Tamandua tetradactyla: one gene and its partners. Each later gene encodes a partner of the first gene's protein in a complex. Links are inferred from orthologs where the notes say so. Each region holds a gene or a part of one and is shown in the gene's direction. Other genes may lie near its edges. The genes, in order: E3 SUMO-protein ligase RanBP2, NUP205, NUP188 and NUP160.

What was found.
Region 2: E3 SUMO-protein ligase RanBP2 (region 1) and NUP205 share a complex: the UniProt entries of both Homo sapiens proteins name them as parts of the nuclear pore complex. The link is inferred for Tamandua tetradactyla from reciprocal best matches to the Homo sapiens genes RANBP2 and NUP205.
Region 3: E3 SUMO-protein ligase RanBP2 (region 1) and NUP188 share a complex: the UniProt entries of both Homo sapiens proteins name them as parts of the nuclear pore complex. The link is inferred for Tamandua tetradactyla from reciprocal best matches to the Homo sapiens genes RANBP2 and NUP188.
Region 4: E3 SUMO-protein ligase RanBP2 (region 1) and NUP160 share a complex: the UniProt entries of both Homo sapiens proteins name them as parts of the nuclear pore complex. The link is inferred for Tamandua tetradactyla from reciprocal best matches to the Homo sapiens genes RANBP2 and NUP160.

What each region holds. Positions count from the first base shown.
Region 1 is NC_135343.1:73,417,386-73,424,440, forward strand, and holds the start of E3 SUMO-protein ligase RanBP2, read left to right. Parts: upstream 1-4,030; 5' UTR 4,031-4,135; coding exon 4,136-4,207; intron 4,208-4,312; exon of another isoform or gene 4,313-4,388; intron 4,389-7,055. UniProt on the Homo sapiens protein: E3 SUMO-protein ligase which facilitates SUMO1 and SUMO2 conjugation by UBE2I. Involved in transport factor (Ran-GTP, karyopherin)-mediated protein import via the F-G repeat-containing domain which acts as a docking site for substrates.
Region 2 is NC_135327.1:178,270,872-178,277,799, forward strand, and holds the start of NUP205 (nuclear pore complex protein Nup205), read left to right. Parts: upstream 1-3,921; 5' UTR 3,922-4,145; coding exon 4,146-4,173; intron 4,174-6,928. UniProt on the Homo sapiens protein: Plays a role in the nuclear pore complex (NPC) assembly and/or maintenance. May anchor NUP62 and other nucleoporins, but not NUP153 and TPR, to the NPC.
Region 3 is NC_135328.1:51,772,233-51,779,665, forward strand, and holds the start of NUP188 (nucleoporin NUP188), read left to right. Parts: upstream 1-4,409; 5' UTR 4,410-4,427; coding exon 4,428-4,459; intron 4,460-7,433. Other genes in the region: DOLK (dolichol kinase), read right to left, coding at 2,394-4,010. UniProt on the Homo sapiens protein: Component of the nuclear pore complex (NPC), a complex required for the trafficking across the nuclear envelope. Required for proper protein transport into the nucleus.
Region 4 is NC_135334.1:124,603,013-124,610,247, reverse strand, and holds the start of NUP160 (nuclear pore complex protein Nup160), read left to right. Parts: upstream 1-4,226; 5' UTR 4,227-4,269; coding exon 4,270-4,369; intron 4,370-4,622; coding exon 4,623-4,734; intron 4,735-7,235. UniProt on the Homo sapiens protein: Functions as a component of the nuclear pore complex (NPC). Involved in poly(A)+ RNA transport.

The sequences.
Region 1 (7,055 bases):
ACTACATAAAGTACTATCAGAACTCAACAATAAGAAAACAACCTGACTGAAAAATGGGCAACAACTAAACTAAAACTCAGGTTACAAAAAGGATAAATGAATGGAAAATATGCACAGGAAAAGATGTCTAACATTTTAAGGGCTAAAATGAAACCAGGATGAGATCCATTACACACCTTTTAGAATGAATTAAATAAAAAATACTGAGTATACCCAAGTGATGGTGAGGATGCAGAGCTCTCATGCATTGCTGACAGGAATGCAAACAAGATTCAGCCACTCTGGAAAACAGTTTGGCAATTTCTTATAAAGTTCAACATATACCCACAATGGTACCCAACAATCCCACTCCTGGGTTTTTATTCTAGAACAAGGATTAGCAAAATTTTTCTTTTAAGGGTCAGATAGTAAATGTCTTAGGTTTGCTGGCCATAGTTCTCTGTCACAATTACTCAACTCCTGTCACTGCATTGTAAAAGCAGGTGGCCAGCCCACAGGCCATATGCTGACTCTTACCCTAGAGAAATGAACATCTGTGCTTGTTGAGAAACGTATAGATGGTAAGTGTTCATAGCAACTCTAGGCATAATCAACAAAAAGTGGTAACAACCCAAATGTCTTGCAACTGGAAAATGGGTAACAAAACTGTGGTAGGTCCACAAAAAAAGATTACTGATACAATGCAACAATTTGTAGAGATTTCAAAGGTATTATGCTGAGTAAAAGATGCCACTCTCAAAAGGTTAAATATGATTCTATTCCATTTTTATGACATTCTTGAAAAGTTGAAAAGACAAAACTACAGTGTGGAGAAATGACCAGTGTTAAGGGGTGAATGGAGAGTATGACTACAAAGGGATTACATGAATGAGTTTTGGGGGGATGACAGAGCTGTCCTGATTCCTGACTGTGGTAGTGGACACATAAATCTATACATGTCTTAATAGTCATAGAACTATCTGCCCAAAAAAGGGACAATTTTTCTACATGATATTTTACCAAAGACACCAAGGTAAGTTCTATTAGAAAAGTAACCAAAACTTTGTACGTCCATTTCCTTACCACTTAATCTATCCTTAACCATGGGCAGTCTGGATTTTGCCTGCACCATTTTTTTTCAAAAGTGAACTTTTAGGAACCAAGGGTGAAGAGTTTAAATTTTAATTAAAATTAAAATTTTACAAAATGATATTTGATTAAGCTATTGGAAAACATTGAAGTATGTTTAGAACAACTTGGGTATGTGAATCTATTTTTTCAACCCTAAATTTTATGAAATAGAAATACAGATCAAGCATTTCTTATGAAAGTTTAGTGTCTGATTTGAGATGTCCTGCAAATGTAAAATGCACATCAAATCTTAAAGGCTTAGTACAAAAAAAGAATGTAAAATAGCTCATGGATAATGTGTTTATATCAATTATATGTTGAAATTACATTTTGAATATATTAGGTTGAAAAAAGATTAAAATTAATTTCTCCTGTTCCCTTTTACTTTTTTAAATGTGGCTACTAGAACATTTTAATTACGTATTAGGTCATATTATATTTCTGTTAGCACTGATAGAGGGGATTCCATTTCCCACAAATACATACTAACAAAGGTATATCATACAGATATATACACATATATCCCCTAATTCATGATTTTGTACAAATTTTTCCCCATATGGTTTCAGGCAGCATTGTGCTATCCTGTGATAGTTCCAAATCCTTCCTCAATTTATGTGTGAAAAGGCCCCTTCTGTACATAAAGCAGTTTAGATGGTATGGATATCAAGAGCAGAATGTGTAGGAGCTTCTAATTTCAGAGATGCAGTCAAAGCAAAAGTTTAAAATGAAAACAAGTTAATTATGTGCAAGTACATAATTGTCAGTAGTAATTTGCAGTCATTTGGTTCCTTTTGTTTTTGAGATTTTTTTGTGAACATTTTTAACCTCATCAATTCTAAGTTCAAAAGCCATGAGAGCATTGAAAAGTGCATTATAGTAAGCAGTAGTTAAGGATTCCTATATGATCATACAAATTTGGAGTGCTGAGAAAACGACAGGACAAATTGACAGTATGAATGAGCTGAAGAAGAAAGGAATCATGTGATACATGAAAGATACTGTGTCTATGCAATGGATGGTAACCAGCAACAAGGTAGAGGTGCTTAAGGAGAAGGAAAAACTCCTAAGTTCGATCAGCACCAATATTGGATGATTATTAGCTCAATGTTAATTCAGAAGTCATCAGGAGATTAATCAGGTAAAACTGCTGCTGCTGAAAAATGTCCTAAGTCAGGTTTTTATGGATTCATGCTTCATTCAAATTGATGCACAGCATCAAAATGACTAAAGGAGCAGTTAAGAGAGAACATTACAACCAGGTGTGTGACTTGGGGGAAAGGATAATTCTGTGTCAGAACAGGTTTGGATGGAACTGGTCTATGTTGAGGAAGGAACAGACATCATGAAGAAGAGTGCCTATTTCTAAAGCCCAGAAGAACAGACTCATACTTGATGAAATTGGGTTTTGAAGCTTAATAAACCTACTCAAGGAAAGCATTTGAGTTCCTCAAGAAGGTTCCCTCTTTGGTCAACTTCTTTTCAGTATTTTAAGCAGATTAATCGTTCTTATTTTACTTGGAAAGGGTGCTCGGCAAGTTGCTTTCCTGCTCACTCCTTTGGCTTCCTAATTTGTTAAACTGAGGATGATAATGTATAGTAGTGCCGCTCACAAAGCGGTTGGGGGGATTAAATAAACTAATACATATGAAGCGCTACGAAAAGGGCATGGAACACAGTGCTTAGTTGTTAGCTATGGGTGTTCTTACTAACACTTTCCAAGGCAAATTCATGCTTTTAACTGTCACCTGAGGCTCATGAGCTCCAAGCCAGGTACCAAGTCCACCCTGAATCTTTGACCTACCATTTCTTCTACCTACCAGGCATCTTCAACAGGATATATATAACTGATATCTCAACTGAAATGAATCAATTACTTAAAATACCATCTTCCATTCCAAACCAGATTCTAGTTTATACTATTCTTAATGCACCTCAGTCAGTCTAGAAGCCTCCCAGCAATCTTTTCCTTTTCCCTCATATGCATTCAATATGATCGAAACAAAACAAAACGAAATGCTATTTTTCCATCTTTATAAAAGGTAATACTTGTTCGTTATAGAAACCTTGGAAAATATGGAAAAACCATAAGAATAAAAATTACCCATGCCAAATCTTGTTATAAATGTGAACATATTTCCTGTTTGATATTTTCCCACAAACTCAAGACCCCACGGTGTACACAGACATGCTCGAAGCGTAAAAATGTCTTCACCCCTGAAAACGCCGGCTTTGATCTAAAATTTAAAAATTCAAATTCCAAAAGTACACACTATTGACGATTTGAAATATACAGATGACGTTAACATCTTGAAATTTTTATGTACCCTGTTCTAATGAAATATGCATAAATTTTAGGGCTTTTTATAAAGTTTTCAACAAAAATCAACATCGTCTAAAACAAAGTATTCGAGGCCTACCTTTCAATCACACACCTACAAAATTTCTCAAGCTTTTAAAAACTGTATGCTTCGGATACACAGGTGTCCAACACAAAAGACTGCTCCAATTGAAAGGTTCACCAAAATGGTATGAGTGCTTTTTCCTTCCACACAAATGTGTAATTAAGAAGAAAGGGACAAAACGTTAAAAAAGACCTTTGGTAAATTGATATTTCAATTTGGTTAATATTCCTTGACTCATTTGTGGTATTGAATGTTTTTCCTGTTCCTCATCCTCAGGAAGCCCTGGCGGAGAAAGCCCAAACCTGCAACCGGTTTTAGAGGGCGGTGAGCAAAGAACACCGGGAAGTGGCGTAACTGCACCAACTCCGGACAAAACCCCAGAAACCAGACGCGACTCGGGCAGTGCGTGGTGGGGGGAGCCGGCGAGGCGCACCGCCCCAACGCGCCACCGTCGTCGGCGTGGCGCACAGTGCTGATGCAACACGCACGTACGTCATGCCGCTCTTCAGTCGGCGACGGCGCTGCGTCACGGCTTTTAGGCGCTTTGCTCCTTGAGCCTGCCGGTCGCTGTGGGCCCCAGTGTCGGCCTTCCGCGTACCGGGAGCTCGGACGTCGGCGCAATGAGGCGCAGCAAGGCCGACGTGGAGCGGTACATCGCCTCCGTGCAGGGCTCCGTTCCGTCGCCCCGAGAGGTGAGTGAGTGCTCAAGAGAGGGGTGGATCTGGCCCTGGGCCAGCGGAGGCCCCGATGCCCGGCACTGGCGCCGGCCTAATGGCTCCCTGCCGGCTGCTGCTTACCTCGTTCCGTTGAGGCGCTAGCCGGCCAGCGCGGTCCCGTGGGTTGCGTGGCGCTCGAGAGCGTGCGGGGCGGGGGAGGCGCGTGTGGGAGGGGCGCAGGGCTCGGGAACCGCGCGCGCGGGGCCCAGCGGCCAGCGAGCGGCCGTTGGCATCAGAGCTTCCTCTTCTTCCTGGTCGGCTCCCGACCGACCTATCTGGCGGGCCCACCAGGCTCGGGTTTCTCGGCAGCTCGCGCACCGTTTATGGCCCGCGCGTCCTCCACCACTCCCATGCTTGGAAGTGGAACCCAGTACTGACGCAGTTTGAGGGTGGGCATTTACTACTGAGACAGGTGATCGTCGTAGTCACCTAACGGAACGGAGCATGGAAAGCCACATTTGCAAGTGCTTGACACACAGCGCAAATGAGACTGAATTCCCCTGGCTTGAGGCGTCCGGCGCTGTATTTATAAGGGTCCTGACCCTCCTTCTGTTGTCCCCCCCTCCCCACCAGGACTCTCTGGAAGCGTCTTTTTTTTTTGCCACTCTACACACACAAACACACACACACACACGTTCCTCGCGAATTCTAAATTTCTAATAGGACGTTGTTACTTACTCTGGTTAAAAATTTTAACCCATTTCCTTAACGTGCTTTTACGGTATTTTTCTTCTTTTAAGGTAAATAATGTGCTAAATATATTTTGGATTCGGCAGAACTTTAGTGATTGGATGTGGAGAGTGAGGAAAAAGGTATTACATGTGGGCTTGCACAAGATCTGGAGTCATTTTACCTGGATTTGGGACAAGTTAAACTGTTTTCTCTTAATAAGGTGGAGGTGCAGCATTGATAGGATAAGATAGGGTGATGCATGTTAGTGCTTGTGCATAGAAGGGCTAATTACGTGTTTGCTGGAATTTATTTTTATTGTTAATGTTGAAAGGAGTTTTAAAAAAAACAAGAAAACGCATGAATGATTGATTATAATAGCAATATAATCTTATTCTACATCCCAGATATTTTTCTTGTTTAGTGTCCCAACAACTGCAGATGCATATCAGGAGGTACTTGTGTAAGGTTTCATAGGTGACTGCAGGATTTTGACATGGGCCAGGTTTATTTTAATTTAGGAACAGTGGATTACGTTATATCCTGTTCCTCAGGAGGGGAGAAATAAGTACCTCTCTACAGATTATTTCAACTGCTTACGTAGACATAAATGTAAGTGTGGTAGTAGAGTGTAGAAGAATCTTAAGGGTTTTTGTACCCTTAGAGTGATGTGACTTGCTTTTTAAACATTTTTTATTTTGAAATATAATGTATATACAAAACAATAAATTTCAAAGTATATTTTAACAGTTATAGAACAGATTTCAAAGTTTGTTATGAGTTACAGTTCCACGACTTCAGGTTTTTCCTTCTAGCTGCTCCAAGACATTGGAGACTAGAAAGAAATAGCAATATAATGATTCATAGTCATACTCATTTGTTAAATTCTAACTTTTCTGTTATAACTCCTCCTTTGATCCTTCTCCCCCCAATGTTTAGGGGTATTTGGGTTATGCCATTCTAACTTTTTTCGTCTTGAAAAGGGGTGTCGACAGCGTGGGATGGGGGATGTAATGGGTTGATGTTCTTGGAGAAATGGCATCTCTGGGTTTCAGAATTTATCTGACCAAGGAACCATACGAAGTTTTTAGATTTCTGAAAAGTAAACTTACTGTGTGCAACTTTTGTAGGATCTCAGATAGAGCCCTGGGTGTTCTTTAGGCTTAACAGGAATGATGTTGGTTGGGGCTTGGCACATCTTGGTAATTAGCAATACCTAGCTGAAGCTTGCATAAGAGTAGTCTGCAGAATGTCTCTGGGCTCTGTTTGAACCCTCTTATCCACTGCTATTTTATTTTGTTACATTTAAGCCCTTTTGGTCAGAAAGGCATTGTCCATTCCACCATCCAGGGCCAGGCTCATCCCTGGGAGTCATATCCCACATTGCCAGGGAGATTCGCAGCTGTGGATGAATATGATTTTTTTTTTTAAAGCAGATTTAGAGCATTGATCAGATTATCTATGGGGACCCTGGCTCCCAAAAGAATGACTAGTCTAGACAGAAGTTAGAATGACATAGGGAATGTTCTTTCAGCTACCTGACTTTTTCATCAAATAAAATAAGGGTGGTGCACAGTTTTAAGGATTTATTATTGTGGTCACATATCTCTTACCCTTGAAGAGTATCCTTTTTTTTTTTTTTAACTTTTTATTTTTAAATACTTTCAAACCTAAGAGAACAGTTAACATAAATAATACGAACTCCATAAAGGGAACTCTGATATACTCCTATTTCCCAGATACTCTTACCCACCAATTTTAAATTTTGTCACATTTGAACATTGGCTAGGATTAATCACATTCACATTATTGCAGTGCCTTTACCGCATTACGTTACTAAAACTTTCCCATCTCTCTAAACAGAAGCCCTTAACCTATTGTGCATCAACTCCCATTCCATTTATCTCCCACCCTGGCAACCTGTATTCTAATTTCTGGCTGTGTGAATTTTCATGTTCTCTGATACTTTTTTTGTAGTTGCCACAGGACTTAAATTTAACATAGAAAATCTATAATAATCTTGTTTGCTTAGATACCAACTTAACTCCATTAGTGTACACTATGTTACTATACTTCTCAGTCCCCCCGCCTTTATGAGTCCAAACTGCTGATTTCTCATGACATTTTATGCATTTGCCTTTTAGCTCCTGTAGGA
Region 2 (6,928 bases), on another chromosome or scaffold:
TTGAATAGACTGTGCTGTCCCAGTTGGGTGGACTTGGCAACCTTGTGAAAAATCGATTGACCCAGGGATGAGTCTGGTCCTGGCACCGTGGGATCAGTAATGCCATCCAGAAAAGGGGGAAAAGAAGTGGAATAAATGAGATATCTGTGGCTGAGAGAGTTCCAATAGAGTTGATAGGCTACTCTGGATGTCACTGTTATGCAAGCTTCATTTAGATATTGCTACCCACCATACCTTACCAAACCAAAACTATTCCGGCCAATCCTAAAGAACACCTAGGGTGTTATATAAGATACTACAAAGGCCCCATGCACTAGGGTAACTTTTCGAGACCTACAATCTCCAGATGGTCCCTGGACCAGATAAATCCTGAAACACAGAGGGGCCAGCCTCTCCAAAGCATCATCTCGTTCCATCCCCCTAACCCATATTATTGACAGCCCCTTACAACATGAAAAAGTTAGAATGAGCATAACGCAAATACCCATAAAGAGTGGGAGAAAGATTAAAGGCAATGGTGGAGTTATACAGAGAAGGTAGGGTTTAACAAAAGAGTATGATTGCTGAGGGGCCAATCTCTCCAGAACACCAGCTAGTTTTATCTCCTTATCCCATATTATCGATACCCTATTCCAACATGAAAAAGTTAGAATGGGCATAGCCCCAATACCCCTCAAGAATGGGAGAAGAATCAAAGGCTATGGTAGAGGTATACAGAGAAGGTAGGGTTTAACAAAAGAGTGCAATTGCTGAATCATTACGTTGACATTTCCAGTATCTTAGAGCGGCTAGAAGTAAAAACCTAAAATTGTGGAATCGTAACCCACACCAGATTCTGAAATCTGTTCTACAACTAATTGTTGTGCTATGTTTGACATTTATTTCTTTTTTGTATATATGTTATTTTTCACAAAAAAGAAAAAAAATACTTCTAGCCTCCAGTCTTTTGGAGCAACTACAAGGAAAAATCTGAAATAGTGGAATGGTAATCCATAACAAAGTCTGAAATCTGTTCTGTAACTACTTGTTGAAGTGTACTTTGAAAAAAAAAGTCAATTGGCCATGATACATGTATTTATTTCTGAGCTCTCTTCTATTCCATTGATAAATATGTCTATCCTTATGCCATTGAACTTTTTTTATTACTGTGAAAAAATCAATTCATGTTAGATCTTAAGGTTTATTTCTAAACTCTCAAATCAATTCCATTGGTCAATGTCTATCTTTATGCCAATACCATGCTATTTTATCACTTTATAAAGCTTTGCAAAGTGCTTTAAGTTGGGAAATGAGAGTACTCCAACTTCATTTTTCATCTCAAGGGGTAAGGGGCTCCTTACCCTTTCAAATAAATTTGGGAGTTAGATTTTCCAATTCTATATGTAGGACTTTGGAATTCTGATTGGAGTTGCATTGTGTCTGTAAGTCAATTTGGGTGGAATCTTAACAATATTTAGTTTTCCAAATCCATGAACATCTATTTAGATCTTTGATTTCTTTTAGCAATGCTTTGTAGTTTTTTGAATACTTATCTTGTACATCCTTGTTTATTTCTAGATATTTGATTCTTTTGGTTGCCATTGTAAATTGATTTTTCCCCCTATTTTTCTCCTCAGATTGTTCATTACTAGTGTATAGAGCACTACTGATTTTTTCATGTTAATCTTATATCCCTTGCTGAACTAATTTATTAGGTCTGGTAGCTTTGTTGTAGATTTTTGGGGACGTTCTAGGTATAGCATCATATATTCTACAAATAGTGAAAATTTTATTTCCTCATTTCCAATTTAGATGCCTTTTATTTCTTTTTCTTGACTAATTTCTCTAGTTAGAACTTCGAGTACAATATTGAATAACAGTGGTGACAGTAGACATGCTTATCTTTTTCTTGATCTTAGTGGGAAAGCTTTCAATCTTTCACTATTGAGTATGACATTAGCTGTGGGCATTTCAAATGTGCCCTTTATCATGTTAAGAGAGTTTTCTTCTATTCCTATTTTTCAAAGTGTTTTTATGAAGAAGGGATTCTGGTTTTTTGTCAAACACTTTTAGTGCATCAATCAATACGATCATGTGGTTCTTCTTCAATTTTTAAATGTTATTTATTACATTGATTAATTTTCTTGTGTTGAACCACCCTTACACACCTGAGATAAAGCTCTCTTTATCATGGTGTATAATTATTATAATGTGCAATTGGATTTGAATTGCAAGTATTTTGTTGAGGATTTTTGCACCCATGTCATTAGGGAGAATGGTCTGTAATTTTCCTTCTTATTTTTTTTTTTTATCTGGCTTTGATATTAGGATGGTATTGCTTCCATAGTATGAGTTAGGTAGCATTCCCTCCTCCTTCAGTTATCTACGAGTTTGAGTAAGACTCCAACTGATTTTTGACATGTGTGCTATTTCCACTCAGTCAGGAAAGAATGATCTCTTCCACAAATGGTAATGGGGAAATGGGATATCCATGTGTAAAGAATGAAAACTGGATATCTACATTCAAAAATTAGCTCAAAATGTATCACAGATATAAATATGCTAACCAAAACTATAAAACAGTAGGAGAAAACATAGGGAAGCATCTTCAGGACCTTGTGTTAGGCAGTGGTATCTTAGTCTTTACCTGAAAGGAATGAGCAACAAAAGAAAATATAGATAAATTGGAATTCATCAAAATTAATTTTTTGCGGTATCAAAGAATTTTTTCATGACAGTGAAAAGACAACCTAGAGAATGCAAGAAAATACTTGAAAATCACATATCTGCTAAGGGCTTAATATGCAGTATATATAAAGAAATCCTACAATTCAATAACAAAAACACAATCCAGTTAAAAACTGGGCAAAAGATTTTTATTGCTATTTCTCCAAAGATGATATACAAATGGCTGGTAAGCACAAGAAAATATGGTCAACATCATTAGCCATTAGGGGAATGCAAATCTAAACCACAATGAGATACCATTTCATTCCCAGTATATTGGCAACATTGGTGACATTGTAATAGGGTGCAGTCTCTGTGGAGGATAGTTTGGCAGTTCCTTAGAAAGTTAAGTGTGAATTAGCATATGACCTGACAATTCCAGTTCTAGGTATAGACCCAAAAGAACTGGAAGGGGGGGACTCAAATGGTATTTGTACACCCCTATTCATAGCGGCATTATTCACAATTGCCAAAAGATGGAAGTAACCCTAGGGTCCATCAATTTAAGAATGGACAAACAAAATGTGCTATATGTGTACAATGGAACCTTGTTCAGCCATAAAAAGGGATGAAGTTCTTATACATGTTACAAAGTGGATGAATGTTGAAAACATCATATTTAGTGAAAAAAGCCAGATTCAATATAAAAAAAATTGTACGAGCTCACTTATATATAAACTATGAACTATAGTTAATTGTATAATTATAATAATATTGTTTCATCAAGTTTAACAGAATGCCACACTAATGCTAAGTCTTAATTATAGAGAAAACTATGTGTGCATGAGGGGCAGGAGTGGGTTGTGTATGGAACTGTAGTTTTTGCATTTTTCTGTAAACCTACAACCTCTCTAGTAAAAAAAGTTATGATTTGTTTCACTCCATGCAATTATGTTGATGCAGTATACTTTGTATATTGAAATGTGCTGAAAATCCTGTTTGTAACAGGTCAAATGACTTTTAGAAGTATTGAAACCTCATACCCAACTCCACGTCCCAAGGTAACGGAGCTATGCAAAGAAGATTTAACATAAAATTTAGATAATTTTATTTGATTTCATGGATTTTATAATATCATAAATATGCGTTATTTCAACAACTTGTCTTTGGAAACCTTTTCTTCCAGTGTACATAACGCACTTGACGCATCATTAGGAAGAAATTACAGGTCCCAGGATGCACTGCACGAATACGTCAAGTTGAGGACCTTGCATTTCCGACGTGGTTGCCTTTGCCCTATGTGAATGGGAACAATTCCGGTGAAAAATTGCTGCTTGTGGCTCAAAGCATATTTTTCAGTTTTTCATACTCCCGCGTAAGCCCAGCGCGCTGTTTAGAGATGGCAGTGCGGGGCCTTTATTTTCAGGCGCCTCGTCGGGCAGCCTCACCCTTTCTGGGGCCTCCGAGCGACAGGAGGGCTTCGTTAGTGCGCCTCCAAGATGGCGACGCTGTTGGCGGTAAATTCGGGTAAGTGTGGCCGGGGTAGAAGGAAAACGGAGAGGCAGGGCGGTGATCGTTTGTTTGTGGAATAACCTGGGCTATGAGGTTCCTTGGTATCCAGACATCCCACTTGTACTCGGTGTATATTTTTCCCTAGCTCTAGGCCTAGGGGCCCGCCCCTCCTGTTTGAATGGCGCGCGTAGGCGCTGCGGCTCTATCCTTTGGGTTGGGGTTTGAGGGTCGGGGCAATGAGAAGTGGTACCTAGGAACAGTGTTGCAATCTCACGGCCCAGGACCGCCTGGGTCCTCCCATCCCCACTTATATTCCCACGTCGTGAGGTGCCTGTGGCCCGGATTTCGCCATAATATATGTCGAGTCTTCAACAGTGAGGTCAGAGGACCCGGGATAGTTTTCAGTCACCAGCGGAGGCTGAGCAAATTCGAATCTCCAATCTATAAAGAAGTACCGGAGTTCCCAGGCGAAGGTGCCTAGGCAATGGTTGTCGCGGGCTCAGCAGATGATTCCGAGATCCGCGGCTGTGATCCGACAGTAGATGTTCAGTACTTTTGGGACAGTAGGTCTTCGGGGCTAAAGTAGATGGCGGTAATGCAGATTGTAAGAGGTGGAAAAAGAACGCTAGGTGATTTGGGATGGGGCCTCTTTTGGTGATTCTCGACCCGGGGCGGTGCCACCCCACAAGGGCGTTTTAAAGAGGGGGTGCATTTTGACTGTCACAATTCCTGGGTTGCTTTACTGGCATTTAGTGGGCGGGTCAAGGATGCTTCAAGTCTCGCACCGGGCAGGACTGTTATGGAAACGAGTTTCCTGCACAGAATGTCAGTAACACCCGGGTTGAGCCGCACTTAGCTTTATTGTGCACAGTTTAAGAGAATGTTTGCGTGAAAAATCCTTGTGCAGAATCTCACCGAAAAGGACTCCTTCGTGGGCACCTTTTCTTTCTGTCTCTGTACACTTTTTTTTAATGGTTTATTCTGCTTTCACAAACTGTTATTCCTGAAAGGTTGTCTAAATCTAAGTTGCAAATCAAACTATTTAAGAAATACTGACACGTTATTTTGTAATAATGAAGGCTTATATTTATTGAGCACTTTTGTCCCAGGCAGTGGAATAAATATTGTACTTGCACTAGTTCACTTAATGCAAGTATAATCCCTTTTGTACTTGTGAGGTAGCTGCTAATAAATGCCCCAATTGGAAATAGAAATTTAGAGCAGTAACTCCCACAAGATTGTGTAACTAATGATCCTAAACCAATCTTACCTGCTTAAATAACTGCGTACTACTAATTATAACCGGATTCATTTTATTAATCCAATTTTCATACATTTCAATGTTAATAATGAACTTAGCTCCTTAATATTGCTGTCCCTTCCCTCAACTTGATATAACCTTTTTTTCCCTCTGTTACTATTTTAATGCAATTTTATTGAGATATGTTCACACACCACACACTCCATCTGAAGTATACAATCGTCATTGTATCTTACTTTTTTTTTTTAAAATATTTTTACTGAGATAGCTTCACACACCATACAGTCCACAAATGTAAACTTAAAAGTAAGGCTTGTATGTTATGTATGTGATTAGAAACATTTTTTGAGTAAGTACTTATCCCAAGTTAGTATCACTATATCCAAATCATTGAAGCAAAAGTAAAAAAGGAAAAGAAGTTGCTAACAGCTGCAAAGAGTATACATTGTATAATAAAGCCTTGCCCTCTCTCTTCTCTCAAAAGACAAGCCACTACTCACTGACTTTTTTTCTTCAACCCACGAGGGTTCTGTTCTGTTTTCCTAAGTTAAAATTAACATGCTCTTCCATTTCACTAAATCCAGCAGACATTTTCAAGCTCCATCTTGACCAAAATCATGGCCTGAGAGACTGAATAGTGTGGCAGTTGCCTGTTTTGCTAAACCTTTGTTTTCTGCACTCCAGCTCTCTTCTCCTGAGACCTTTTCAGTTCAGTGCAGTGTTCCCTGTTGTCGTGGAACCCACACATTCTGGCTTCCAGAAATGCATGTCCTCAGATCCCATCCCTCAGTTAACTTCCACTTTTATCCTTGGAATTTCAGGCTACTCATTGCTCGTCAAGGAAGCTTTCCCTTCTCTGACCTTCCTGACTAGATCAAATCCTGATTTCAGACTACTCATTGCTCCTCAAGGAAACTTTCCCTTCTCCGACCTTCCTGACTAGATCAAATCCTGTTAAGTGATCTCATGCCCTGGATACCTCTACTTCATAGCACTTGCCACAGCTGAATTTTGCAATTATATGTGATTATATAATTAATGTGTTTTCTCACTAGATTTGAAAGCTTACAGTATTTAATACATGATGAATGAGTGAATAAATGGTAACTTGTTGGAAGGCTCTCTCAAAACTTAAGGAAAATAAATGTATTTCTAAAATGAGCAAATCACTTATGTTAAAAACATATCTTTGGTGGCTCACTGGTAGAATGCTTGCCTTTCATGTGGGAGACCTGGGTTTGATTCCTGAACCATGCACCCAAAACAAACAAACAAACAAACAAACAAACAAACAAAACCACATCTTCATGGGGAAACTGTATAAGGTGGAGGATATATGGAAACTGTATTACGTATTCAATTTTTCTGTAACTCTAAAACTGTTCCAAAAAATAAAGTCTATTAATAAAAGATAAAACCCCCCACATCTTCGGTAATCTGAAAAAGTATATAGCCTCCTTTCATTTGTAGTCAATAACAGATATTGACTAAAATTAGCCAAGTTGAAGA
Region 3 (7,433 bases), on another chromosome or scaffold:
CCACCTCTCCCAGAACCATGAAAGGGTTCTGGTCACCTCTCTTCGGCTTCTCACTCTTATCTCTTCTAAGGTAGAACTCTGATTTGTACACTGCAAGACACAATAAAAATGAATTACAAATGCAGCTTGTTTCTTTCTTTCTTAAGCAGCCTTGCTGTCTTGACAGCCCTCCTGCAAATCATCCCAGGTACCCCGGCCTGGCCTGGAACACACTATATGATTTTAATAACGTCACATTTACTGGGCACTCACAGTGAGCCCAGCTCTGTGCTAAGAGTTTTCTTTGTTTTACCGCTCATTGGCTTCTCACACCTATCTCTGAATTCCTTGCTCTTAGCATTTGTACTTACAAATCAAGGACCTGAGGCCTGGAGAAGTTAAGTGACCTGCTGAAGTCAGCCATTCAATTGTTCAGAATGCTCCAGAGCCTGCACTCCCAAGAGCTACACTACCCAATCCTCCCTGCTTGGGGAGGTAGGAAGGAGACCAATCCCTTCCCGTCTCTGGGCTTGTTTCCCCATCTATATGATAAGGGGGGCAGACTAGGATGTGCTGGGCAGGCACCCAAATCCTCAGTGGGAACAACTGCCAATCCCAAAACCTAATAAGCTGGGGTCTGGCCCAGTTGCAAACTGGGGGATACTGGCTGAATCTAGACTGCAGATTTGTTTTTAACAAAACTTTTTTAAATTGGGAGCTCTACCAGGGTTTTTGAACAGGGGAAGTTTGACAACCTAGGGCCTACATTCTAGCATGGCATCTATTGGCTGGAGCTGCCTCCTTAGAGGCATGTGTTCTCTGGTCCAGCAGAGTTCGTATTTTCTCAGTCCTCATTTATCTGCATTACCTACCTGGTCTCTGCAGGCATATGTGTGACCCTGATTAGTCTAACCCACCACTGGACACACCAAGGCCAAGAAAAGAGCCCTTTCCCAAGGCCAGTGGGGCAAAGCTGGGGCTCTTTCCCCAACATTTTGCTGCCTTCTTTGGCAAGCAGTAATAGGGAACTGAGAGAAGGATCAGGTTTGTTGAGTCTCCTTTGGGGCACAAAGGAAGGTCTCAATAATCTCCTCTGAAGGAAAGGAACTTGGTAGTAATTTCCAGGCAGAAGCATAAGGTGCCGGTAACAGCTCCTGGGCTTTGCTCTTGGTTTCTGGCCTTGGCAGGCCAAAGTTATCACCTCTTCCTGCTAGGCTCCTTGCTAGGCTAGGTGAGAAGGGAGAAACTTGTTTAGTTTCATGTAACCAGCTGTTATTTTCCCATTGATGGGAAATGTTCATCCACTCAGCAAATGTCTACCAAGTTCAGCTATGTGCCAGGCTCTATAGGGGAATCAGGCAGGCCCAGACCCTGTTCTCCCAAGAGCAAGGCTGAAGCATGGGTCCCTTGTTTAGGCAGAGGTGTTCAGAGTAGAGCTATGGAAACTCCTGCAGCCCTTATGGACCTGTCCTAGGCTCTAATTTGTTGTCAGGGAAGAAACAGACTTGGACGTGACCGGAGGGTGAGAGGGTCTAAGGAGGGACATCTTGATAAGGACCCTGTACTGTCCAGCCCATTTTTCTCCATCAGCACACCTAGCCAGGCAGCAGAGACCTCGGAAGTGGGAGGTAGATGGGTGGGGCTGGCTTAAACAGGACATTAGCTCAGGACCTGATCCTCTTCCTCCAGCTCTTTTATACTATGCCCCAAACCTATCCCACCTCTCCCCTTCAGCTCTTCCAAATCCAACTGGGAGATACCACATGCCTTCTCCTCCTCTAAATGAAGCCATAGGAGTAAAGTTCACTCTGATCTCCAAGTACAAGACAAATTTCTTGGCTTGCAATGCTTTTTTGCTAAGATGAGGACTGGTCTTGGGCAATAATGACACTTTCCCTTACTTATTGCTCGTTGCCTAGGCCTGGGCTAGATACTTCATACACATCTCATTGGATCCTCACAATACCCCTATAAACAATTATTCCCATCTTGTAGATGGAGTTGAGGCTCAGAGTGACTATGTGACTCATCAAAGGTCACACAGTTAATAAGTAGTGCAGCCGAGGATTCTAACCAGAGTAGTTTGACACCAGGATCTTAAGTGTCAACCATTATGTTCTACTGCGTCCAGTGTTCACTCTGGTCCTCCCTGAGAACTATGAGGTGAGAGAAGGGGATTCTATAGCATACTCAAATTCTTTGAGCTGATTCAGTATCATTTAAGCCTGTTTTCTTTTAAAACATCAGAAAACTAAAACCTGGAGAACTCTGATTTTTATTTTAAATCTGAATCAACTGAAAAAGCAAATCTTCTTTTCACCCCTTGGCTCTTCTTGCCTAAGAGGCTGGGTGCTGTGGGGGCCATTCATCCTCCTCATGTCTCTGTTTCCTTTATTACTGCTGCTGCACAGCAACTAGGCCATCAGCAATATCAGGAGGTAGAGAGGCAAAAGGAGATTGTCTATCTGTGTAGTGTATGCTTCTAGAAGGGACACAGTGCTGATGGACCCCAAAATCCAAGCATAACTGTAGTTTAGGTCCACTCCACTGTCAAAAATTAAGATAAGAGCCACAGAAATGATTTGGGCAAATATGGATGTCATGGTTCCCTCGAAAGTCTTTTTGGTTCCAGGCCAGCGGATTTCTCCCATGGTGCTGCCAAAGACAGAGGCCACAGTATCGCCCACACCTACGGCTAAGACACCAGCGTAGGGGACTAAGGCCCTTGCTCCCCCAAGACTACCCTTCTGTGTACAGGGTCTGGGGACCAGCCAAATGGGAAGAGACATGCCCAGGAGCAGGTAGATGTGTGTCAGGATGAGTGGTCCGCTGTCTCGTTCATCTAGGAAGAGGGAAAGGAGGGTCCGCAGAGTGTGACCTAGGGGCTTGATGCGGAAGTAGCGCACATACTCCAGGAAGATGAAGACTGCCAGGCATACAGTGGCAGCCACATAGAGCAGTGGCCGGTCAAAGATGATACCTGGGATATAGGTGGCTACCACAATGAAATGGAAATACTTTCGGGTGATGGAGGGGGCCTGGTGCTTCTTGGACTCAGAAGATGACCGCTTGGCATTCTGGTACAGCACCACCAGGCAGGCCAAGGTGGCCAGGAGAGACCAGTAGACTAGGAGGTAGATGCGGGTATCTGTCTGGAAGAGGAATTGAAGGAGCCAGTGCAGAGGGTTCCTGTGGATGAGCCGATGTAGCCAAGGTAAAACCACTCCAAGGCCCAGGACGCAGGTCATGAGATGAAAGAAGATGGAGGAGGCCCAGGTGCCTGAGTCCATGAAGACAAAGAGAGTGCTGAAGAAGATGCCCATGAGAACCATTCCTACCACCACCACTAGCAGGAAGAAGTCTACTGGATCTCCCTGGTTCTCCACCACGGTAAGAGAGCGCTTGATGAGTTGGTTGAGCACAAAGCTGATGCCGCCCAACACCAGCAGTGCCTCACCAGGGGTGAAGCAGCGGGGTAGCAGGTACAGCAGAATCATATTGAGGTAAACAAAGATCAGTAGGACCTCCAGGACCTCAATGACCTCGCTCACGCTAAGCGAGTGCTTCATGATATAAATGATGACACCTCCAGCCAAGCCAGAGACGACACAAGTGTTGGTAGGAACTGGGCGAGTGATGCCCAGTGCCAACACTGAGGAGAAGAGGGCCACAGCCATGCCAGTGGTTGCCACCACAATACCAAAGCGCTCGAAGTATGGGTTCCCCGCAGCATGGCAACGCTCCTTCATGACCAGTCCAAGCAAAGGCATGATCATGGAGGCAGGAAGTAGGCCACTGTTGGCAGACATTCGGAATTGGAAAACGGCGCTTCCCTGCTGTAGCAGCCGGTCCCACTTGTATTGGACATAGAAGGCCTGCACTGCGAGGGCCACAGCGCACCACGAATAGCGGTCCCACACCGCAGCATGGATGCTCAGCACCATGGCGAACACCACTGCCGCTTCCGCCAGCACCGACCCGCTCAGCGGAGCCCCGGTTCCGGGGGCCGGAGGAGCGCAATCTCGGGTCATGTTCCTAGACTTGAAGCCCCAGATAAGCCGAAGTGACTAAGGATGCCTTGCACTCCGGACCCGTCTGCCCCGCCAAGTAGAGGGAGGCAACTTCACCCAGCAAGCAACCTTTTTCCTCTGTTCACGAGCTGCGAGGAAGGAAGCTCCACAGCAGGTCACTCTCTGCAGCCTGGGAGCTGGTGCCCAGTCACAGTCCACCGCCTCCAACCTGAGGCGTAAAAATAGCCGCTCGGCCGCCTTCCTCACAACCTCTTCCACGCTCACCGCAGAATCCTCACCACCGGAGTATCGCCATTTTGGCTCCGCCCGGTGTCGCCTTCACGTGACAGAAAGCACCACCCCACGCACCCAGCCTGGAAGCGAGTGAACGCGTCGGCGCAGCGTCTGGAGGCGGGGCTGGGGCGCGCGCGCGCGAAGATGGCGGCGGCCGCCGGCGGGCTGTGTGTGAGGTGCGGAGCAGGCAGAGCCGGCGCGGGTGGTTGGGCGGTGCAGGGTCCAAGCAGGAGCAGGGCGGGAGTTTGGTGCGGAATGTGGTGACTTTAGTGGAGTGAAGGCCAGCTGGGTGGACGGGCGCCGAGACGAGAGGCAGTTACGTCCAAACGGTCCCCCGCGCGGGGACCTGAGGGGACTTCTTCAAGAGGAGGGCCGGGTTTTCACCCCTTCTCTTAGCGCCGGGCCTTCCGTCTTCTCACCTAAGCCTCCTCGCCTTCCTCTTCTCTCTTCGCGGGCCAAGTCCCTTGGCACACCACCTGCGCTTCCTCGTCCGGCCGTGACGCTTCTTTGAGGCACGACGGAGCGCTTCGCGGTCGCCTTGAGGAATCTCCCACCTCACCCCCGCGGCCGAGTCCCTGTGGCCTGCCTCGCTGACGGCTGGGCCTTTCCCGTCCCCACGTTCTCCCATGTGCTCTCATTAGGAAGTATGTTTGGTGTGGCGCCGAGCTACCTCCCTGCATTTTCCACCCTCATTTCTGCGCTGACTTAATTTCGTCCCACTGTTTTTTTTGGTCAGCGTACATGCTTGGATTCCAGGCACTATGCTAGGTTTTGGGAACAAGAAGATGAAATATTAAAACGAATGATATAGTTCTCACCTATAGAGTACTTAACAATGCCAGACTCTGGCGAAGCGTTTTATATGCATATCTCGTTGAATTCTCACAATGCTGTCAGGCATCTTCTGCTTTACAGATGACTCAGAAGCCCAGCGCTCAGAGCTGACTGTGGTAAAATGAGGATTTAAACCCAAGTCTGTCAACTCTAATGCCATAAGGCCATAAACCAAACCACCACACCCCTATCATCCACACAACAGCTTGGAATGTCTTCCATCCCTGTTACCTATTGTGCCTGTAGTGTCCCTGCCCCCCCCCCCCTTTTTTATTTGTCTTGTTTACTGCTGTATCCCTAGCACTTAGAACAATATATAATAGTTTTTCAGTAAATATTTAGTACCGATGTCGCCCATCTTCTCTGATATTGTTTCTTTCACCCCCTCATTTGGAAGTGAAATTTTGTTCTTTGCAATTTCCATTAGACTATGTCTATAATTTGTGAAGATCCGTTTGCCTATTTCTACCCTGCCTTTTCATGTCAGCATTATATTAGGCAGCATTGTGACCACTGTGCCCTCCTTTTCTTAGGCCTTTTTCATAGTCATTTCTGAGCTTGGTAGAAGTTCAGCACCTGTAGGGGAAGGCATGTTCTTAATGAGAGAGGACAAAGAGAAGGAAAGCTTTGGTTTGCTTGAAAGAGTTCCCTGATCATACTGGGAAACCTACCAAAAATCAAACCCAAAAATGGAATAAATGACAGTAGTGTTTCTAGGCATCACTTTGCTCATGGAGAATGATCTTTGTTTTTGTGCCAGAAGTCATGATCAACCAGTTGGGATTATACTGAAATATTAAAAAGAGTGATACAGTTCTCCCCTGTTTGGAATATCTAGAAATCAGGACTGTGAGAAAACAAATTCTGTTCCTGGTGTCTGCCAATTTGCAGATGACTCCAGATCTCTAAATTTGAATCCATTCCAGAGGAGTACTGAGGTATCTCAGAAACATGTTCTTGTAGGAAAGTCATTGCGTATGGTTAATACAAGCTGGCACTAGTCAGAAATGGAGTGATACTCTTAAAATTTGGGGGGAAGGCCACTTTGGAATTGGCAGAGTGTCATTTTGAATATTGTCATTTTTTTCTTGACTCTCTTGTTCTTTTCAGTTAATGAGTTTTGTAGAAGTCTAAGTGGTGTAGGTGTACTAAAGAAAAATAGAACTCAATTTGAAAAGCTTTTGCTTCTAAGCTTAAATCTCAGAAGGTTGTATCTCATCTGTGGAGTCAGAGCATCCATGGGCAGTGGCAACTTCTGTTATTTCCAGGTGGAGTTTAAGTGTATTCCTCAAAAGAGCTATCAGAGTAGCTTGGCTGTGTCTCAGCTTCCAACCAAAAGGACTGAATTGTAGAAACTGTTATTCCTAACTTCCAGTAGCTTTCACAGAGCTTTTCCGCCAGATGGATCTCTCTAAGGAATATAATTTTCCAGTCTGCTTATTGCCAACTCTTGCAAAAATAGAATTCTATTTTGTCTGTTTATGTACTGAAAGTCTGTAAATTTTTTTAAATTTACCTTTGAATTTGAGGCATGTTATTTAATTCTGTGCCTTAGTTTTTTTTCCAGATACTTAGTATATATTATGCAAATAAATGAGAGACGCTGCAGCACATGTTTAAATTCCTGAAAATATAGATAGAAGCCCTTGTAGCTTTGGATTAGACATCACAGCTCTACGTTCCGGCTGTATCTGTTATGTTTTTTGAGGATCACCTGCTCAAACCTTCAGGTTCCAATTTGAGGTGAAACCTTTTGTTGATCTGGATCAGTCCCCAGTGTGCTCGTTCTTCTTTAACTCTGTTCTATACAACTATGTTCCTTTGTAGACTCCAGTTAGTATCACACCCTTTAGTGCCATCTTCCCTTCTGCTGGTTATATAATGTGTGTTTAATATCCTTTGTTATACCTGACACTAAGCTAATGAAGTTCTTAGATTTATTGGTGTCCCCACCTATTACCAAATCCTTTCCATTGTCCCAAGCATACTCTGTACCCATTAAGCATTAACTCCCCATCCTCAGCCCCTCAGCCCTGTCACTGATACCCTTTAATCCATTTTCTGTCTCTATGAATTTGCATATTCTGTCTGTCTCTATGAACTTCTTGCCATTAATTTTGATATACTGTTAATCACTTTATTAGGTATGAGGGTCATGTGGTAGTTGTCTAATTAGTTTTTGTGCAAACCCAGAAGCTATCCTTGGTAGGTAGAAAATGTATTTCATTTTAAATAAAGCCTTTCTCCTCCTCCTTTATTTTTTGTTAAATCAGGTTTATAAATAAATATATAAATATATTTAGGTTTATAAATAAA
Region 4 (7,235 bases), on another chromosome or scaffold:
TACGGCTACAGGAAATAAAATTTTCCTTCAGGATACTCATAGAAACCTCTAAATCTTTCAGACGGCACTTAAGCTTCTTGTTTGAAGCCTTAAGCCCATCCCTTTCTTCCTTTAATGTAGACAGTGTATCTAACAACAACCAACCAACATCTCTATAACTCTTATTTCTACAAAACTCTGTAAAGGTGTCAAAAACATTATCCCCCAGAGTCTGGCTTCGTACAAGCGAAGCATTAGGAGAATCGAATGATGATATTTTGACTATCTCCTTTGCCAACTCAGTCCATGGATTGGGTGTGTCATTCTGATTACGGGAATCAGAGTCCTTAGTGTCTCTGAGCCCAGTCAGAGTAGAAAACCATTCATAAAAACCCATTTTTAAGATTCTGTTCCTTAAGAACCACTCCTGGTACCAAGATGTATTAGTTAGGGTTCTCTAGAGAAACAGAATCAACAGGGAACACTTGCAAATATAAAATTTATGAAAGTGTCTCACGTGACCGTAGGAATGCAGAGTCCAAAATCCACAGGGCAGGCTGCGAAGCCGATGACTCCAATGGATGGCCTGGATGAACTCCACAGGAGAGGCTCACCAGCCAAAGCAGGAATGCCACCTGTCTCCTCTGAGTCCTCCTTAAAAGGCTTCCCATGATTGGATTTAGCATCACTAATTGCAGAAGACACTCCCCTTTGGCTGATTACAAATGGAATCAGCTGTGGATGTAGCTGACGTGATCATGACCTAATCCTATGAAATGTCCTCATTGCAACAGGCAGGCCAGTGCTTGCCCAATCAGATGAACCACAACTTGGCCAAGTTGACACCTGTCCCTAACCATGACAATGATATTGCTATATTTTAAAACTCCACCTACTGTATCTGACCAAAGGAAGAGATGCTTATTTTGTCCACAACTTAAATTTTATGTAGCACACAATCTAACTTAACCTGTTTGGCCAGTTCATTTAAACAACCTAAACATATGGACCCTAGAAGTGGCAATGCAATCTTGTAATTCTGTATAGCTTAAAGTAGTACCCTAATACATTCCAGAGTATGTTGGGTAAATAGCCGAAAAGTAGTGGCAAAATCCCTAGAGGGACTGGAGAAAAAATATGGAACTGTTAAACTTCCTTATCTGGGAAACACCTGATACTATCTCAAATATTAGGGACTCCCAAGTCATAGGTCAAGCCCTTGATCTTGAGGCTTTTTCTTATGAAACTTTTATCTGTAATGAGAGGCTAAGCCTACCTATAAATATGCCTAAGAGTTTGTTCTAGATTGCTAAAGCTGCCGGAATGCAATATACCAGAAATAGACTGACTTCTAAGGGGATTTATTAAGTTACAAGTTCACAGTTCTAAGGCCTTAAAAATGTCCAACCTAAGGCATCCAGAGAAAGATACCTCAACTCTGAAGAAAGGTTGATATCTGTCCTGCATCAGTGGGAATGCATGTGGCAGGCATCCAAGGTCCTTGCTCTTGTTTCATTGCTTCCATCTTCTGATTCCAGCGGCTTTCTCTCCAAGCATCTGTGTGTCCCTCACTTAGCTTCTCTGGGGCAAAACTATGGGTTTCATGTCATAATTTAGTATCGTCTGGGGCCAAAGATTTCTTTTCTTCAAGTGTCTGAGTCCTGGTTTCATACGGCTTCTCTACACATCTCTGTTGGCACTTTTTCTAGTTTGCTAGCTGCCAGAATGCAATATACCAAAAACAGAATGGCTTTTAAAAAGGGGAATTTAATAAGCTGCTAGTTTACAGTTCTAAGTCCATGAAAATGTCCCAATTAAAGCAAGTCTATAAAAATGTGCAAATAATGGTACCAACAAGTGGTTACCTTCACTCAAGAAAGGCTGGTGAAGTTCAGGGTTTCTCTGTCAACTGGAAAGGCACGTGGCAAACATGGTGCCCTCTGCTAGCTTTCTCTTCAGCCTTCTTGTTTCATGAAGCTCCCCCCAGGGATATATTCCTTCTTCATCTCCAAATGGCAGCGTGAACTCTGGCTCTCATTATTTTCGTTGCTCTAAAAGGGAGTCTCTCCAAAATGTTTCCTCTTTTAAAAGATTTCAGTCAAGGCCCACCTGGAATGGGTGGAGTCACATCTCTCTCTAACCAAAAAATTAATACCCACAATTGGGTGAGTCACATCTCCATGAGAACAATAAAAAAGCTCCCAGCCAGCAATATTGAATGAGGATTAAAGGCTTTTCTGGGGTACACCACAGATTCAAACCAGCACATCTCTCTTCAATGCAAAGTAGTTAGAAACAGTCCTTGCCCAAATATCCCTGAAGATTGGGAAAAGGATCAAATGAGAGGGAGGATTTGTAACAGAGAAGATAGTATCTGCAAATCACTGTGACTACTGAATCACTATACTGATGTTTCTTGTTAGTTTCTAGTGTATTAGAAAAGCTAGAAGGGGATATCTGAAATTGTGGAACTGTAACCCACACCACACTTTGAAACTTACTCTAAACTTTGAAATTTATCACTTTTCTGTATATGTTATACTTCACAATAAAAAAAATGCAAGAAAAAAAAAAAAAACAGAGTTCTGGGTACTCCAAAATTAAGAGGTTAGGAGAAGAGGAGAAACTAGCAAAAAAAAAAGTCTAAAAAAGAAAAGTTGGTGAAGCAGGAGGAAACCAAGATAATGGGGTGTCCTAAAAGCCAAGTGAAGAAAGTATTTCCAGGAGGAAGGAGCAGTCAATTGGTCAAATACTGCAGGTGGTCAAGTAAAGTTTAGAAATGAGAATTCCATTATAGATATATAACGTGAATGTCTCTGATGATCTTCCAAAATGCAGTTTCAGAGAGCAGTAACAGCCAAAGCCTTAAAAAAGCAGGTTTAAGCGAGAACAGGAAGACAGGAATTGGATAGAACGCTCTTGAACTTTGCTGTAAATGCAGGGAGCAGCGGAGATGTGCAGTCGAAGCTGAAAAGAATGAGACGAATAAGGGCTTTCTTTATGGGGGGGGGGGGGGGAATAACGGCAAGTTTGCATGCATAAAGGACCAATCCAGTGAAAAGGGAAAAACCAAGCGGTAGGAGAGAGGAAGGACCGCAGGCACGTGGCGATGCAGTGAAAGGCAGCGAGAGTGTCTCACCAGATTCCACCTGCAGCAGCAGGACGGGCAAGGCAGCCCCACGAGCGCAGGTGCGGCCCGGTGGGGAGATGCGGCAGCGGGGAAGAACCCTCCGGGAATTCCCGTTTGCGTCCACCTTCTAAGCGAGGCCAGGGAAGAGGTGCTGGGGTTAGAGAGCTATGAAATACTCCTCCAGGACGCTGAGGAAATAGCGGACACGGAACACGAGGCGCCTCACGCAGTCAGAGCGAGGCACGTCCTAAGGGCGTCTACTTTTTCTCCAGCCCTGGTCAAAGGCAGATTTGGATTTCATCGAAGTTGTAGGTTTTCAACTAAAGCATCGTGAACAGAGCGAGCCAGGGGGTAACCTAATGGAATTTAAGCAGGCGCAAGAAACTTTCAGGGAAACGCAGGACGGTGAAAAGGAGGAGGCAGCCACGGAGGGCAGGCGGTTCAGGGGCTGCCTCGCTGAGTGATGGCGGATGCCACACAGAACGGCAGGCGAGGGTCGCGGAAACCTTAGCAAAGCCCGGCTTCGTGAAGAAAGAAACTCCCGCCTTGAAAACGCGCATGGTCCTCGGCACCCAGACGGCGCTCTGCCCAGAATCGGGCCCACGGCTTCGACAGCCGGGACGAGAGCCCGGCTCCTCTTTTGGGGGTTCCGTAACGAAACTTGAGCAGGTCGCGGCACCAACTTCTCATTTAACACATCGAGTGTCATTATTCAAGAAAAAACGAACACAGTCGCGTGAGAAAATCCAATACAACACAGAAGGTCCCTTGTCACCTCCAATACCGCCCTGACAGGCGAAGGGAGACTGACAGACCTACGGAGGCGGCGGCCGCCCGACCGGCTGAGGGCGCTAGACCCGCAGAGGGCGCCAGACCACGCACAGGACCGCGCCCGCGAGGCCCCGCCTCGCAGCGCGCTAAGGCCGCCGGGAAAAGGGCGAAGCCCGCCTGAGGCACCTTAGCCGGCCACTCGTTGGTTCCTGCAGACAGAGGCGCTTCCTCTCTGCCCACCTTGCAGTCTCCTGGCAACTCTGTGGAAGCCTTCAAGGAAGCGGCGGGCGGCCCTCGCCTCTGCCGGCAGCCCCGCTAGCCCCACCCCGGAAGTACGCAGACCACCTGGCCCTGCCGTGTCCCGTCGGGCCTCGCGGCGGCGCGGGAAGATGGCGGCGGCGGGAGCCCTGGAACGGAGCTTCGTGGAGATAGTGGGAGCTGAGCGCGAGAGGCAGAGGCATTTTCGGGAATTTACGGTCTGCAGCGTTGGTACGGAAGCGGTCCCAGAGAGCGCGCGGCCTTCCGACGGTTCCCCGGGTCTCTGTCCACCTCGCCGGGTTCATCTTCTCAGTCCACATTCTGCTGGCCCTTGGATCGGATCTTCCCCAGTGTCCGGCTTCTTCCTCCTTTTCCCTTCCCTTTGTGTGGATTGTCAGCCCGTCACTCTGTGCTCCCTCGGCGCACTTAGCCCCTGTCATCCCCCGAGAACCTCGTGTGCGCACTGACCACCCTCCTTTTCCAGGGACCGTAAATGCCGTGGCGGGAGCGGTGAAATTCAGCGAGAGCGCGGGAGGTTTCTACTATGTGGAAAGCGGCAAGTTATTCTCCATCACTAGAAACAGATTCATTCATTGGTAAGTGTTGTCTCGTCCACCCTTCTAGAAGGTACGGTTATTCGGAGTTTGGATTTTCCTGGCTCTTCCGTCATTCTGCGAAGCAGTAATCGACATCTGGCAAAGTAGAAAGACTGTTTGCAATTCATTTCCGAATCAGGAGAAAAATTAGAGTGGCCCAGAATTCTAGGCGTGAAATCCCATCCCCACCCCAGTCTAAAGCAGAGGGAATGGAGCTTAGGGATAAATCCCTGAAGACCAGGATTTAAGCATGAACTTACTGTGGTGGTGTTTTATTTCTTTTTATAATCGAGCAACGCTTTATTTTTTTTAATTTAGCTAACTATGTTTCTGTGCCTTCCACACTTTCACAAGGACTTTCTGCTTCTCAATAAGGAAAGCTTACTTGTTCCATTGTTTTCATAGCACTTGACAGCTTCCTTCATTTTTCGAACACTTGTTGAACTTCTATATGTCAGGCCATTCTAAGGATTTTGGATTTTATCCTAAGTACATCGAGCAGTCATTAAAAAAGTGTTTTTAAAGAGTTTTTAACACAATCAGATTTGCATTTTTAAGCAGTTGGTCTCAATGTCTGGAAAATGAACTTGGATTGAGTGGGACTGTTACACAAGAACACTTTCCTTTTACAATGGTCCAAGGAAGAGATGCTGTGGTTCAGATTGTGGTAGTGGCTAGAAAACAGAATAAATGGATTCCAGATACATTTAGAAGTTAGATTTACTCAGACTTGGTGACAAATTGAATATGGAGTTGGGAGGGGTAAGGGAAAAGGAGGGAACAGAGACAAAAACCCAGGTGTTCTGATGTGACTAACAGGAAGTGAGGGGTGGGAGTGTCATTTACTGAGATACAGAGACTTGTTTGGAGAGAAATTCTTTTGGACATACTAAAGTTGAGGTACCAGTGCTGCAGCCCTTGGAAATATCTGGTAGGTATTGGAATTTACAGACTTGAGACTCAGAAGAGAGACCTGTATTAGAAATATGAATTCGTTTATTTAAGAAATATTTTTGCGTGCCTGCTATGTTCCAGTCTACAGTTAGGAACTGGGAATATAGGGGTAACAGAACAGACAAAAATTCTCCACACTCATGGAGGGAGACAGGTAAAAAAACAACAACAACAAAAAAAGTAAATGAACTTGTCAGGTGACAGTAAATGGAATAGAGAACAAGGAAGCAAGTCAAGAGGAAAGGGAAATGCTTACAGGAATTACTGTTTTACATAGAATGGTAAGGCAGAACTCAGAAGTCGGTAGACTATTTGAGCAGAGAAAGTGAGGATACCAAGGGAGGAGCATTTCAGGTAGAGTATTCTCAGAAGAAACAAAAAAATGCAAAGAACTGTGAGAAGGGAGCTTGTCGTGTTCAGAAGAATAGCAGGGTGTCAGGAGTCTGAATGAATAGTAGAACAATGAGAGAGATATCCCAGGGCCAGATCAGAGCTTTGTCACTTATTTAAGTCTTAGGCTTTTTACTCTGGATGAGATGGGAAGAAGCCATTAGAGCATTTTAAGTAAAGAATGACATGATCTAAGTTGTGTTTTAAAACCTTGATCACTGTGGCCACTGTATTAGCAATAGAATGTAGTGGGGAAAGGATGGAAGTAGTGAGAAATGGTCTGATTGTGGATATGCTTTCCAGGTGAATTTATTACAATTTACTAATGAATCAGATGTAGAGTATATGGAAAGAGAAGAGTTAAGGGTGACCCCAAGATTTTTGGCTTGAACATTTGGAAGTTGTGAGATGCCATTAACTCAGATGGGAAATAGTGCAGAAAAACAGATATTTTTGGTTTTTTGAGCTTGATATGCAGGAATTCGGTTTTGGGTGAGTTTAGTTTGCTATGTCTTTCCAAGTGGAGATCTTCAGACAGTAGTCAGGCGCTCAGTGGACAGGATGGGTGGAAGATACAGTTTGGGGGATCGTTGGCATGAAATGGCATCTAAGCTTGTTGTATATTGAATGAGATCACCTGAGGTTTCTCATCCCAGCACGGTCAGCACTTGGGGCCAGGTCATTCCTTGTCAGAGGGGATGCCGCAGGATACTGAGCAGCCTCCCCAGCCTTTGACCGCTGCGGGCCGCCAAGCTTCTTCCTGCTTTCGCCCCCGGTGTAGCAGCATTGTCCCCAGATATTGCTAAATGTCCTTGGTGGGGAGGGAAGGGAGGAAAATTATCCCAGCTGAGTGTCACTTGTGTAGATGAGGGAAGAGAAGTATGAGGACTGAGCCCCAGGGCACTCCAGCATTCAGGAATGGGGAACTAGTGAAGAAGACTGAGGAGGAATAGCCAGTGAGGTGAAAGAGTGTTGTCTCATAATCTTAAGGAAAGTGTTTCAAGGAGGAGAGCAAAAAAATTGTCAAACACCACATTTGATTTGGGTAGGATGAGAAATGAAAATTGACCTTTGCCTTGTGGAAGTCATTGGTAGCCTTGGCAGAAACTGCTCCAGTAGACTGGTGGGGCAGATGCCTGAGCGGAGTGGGTTCAGAA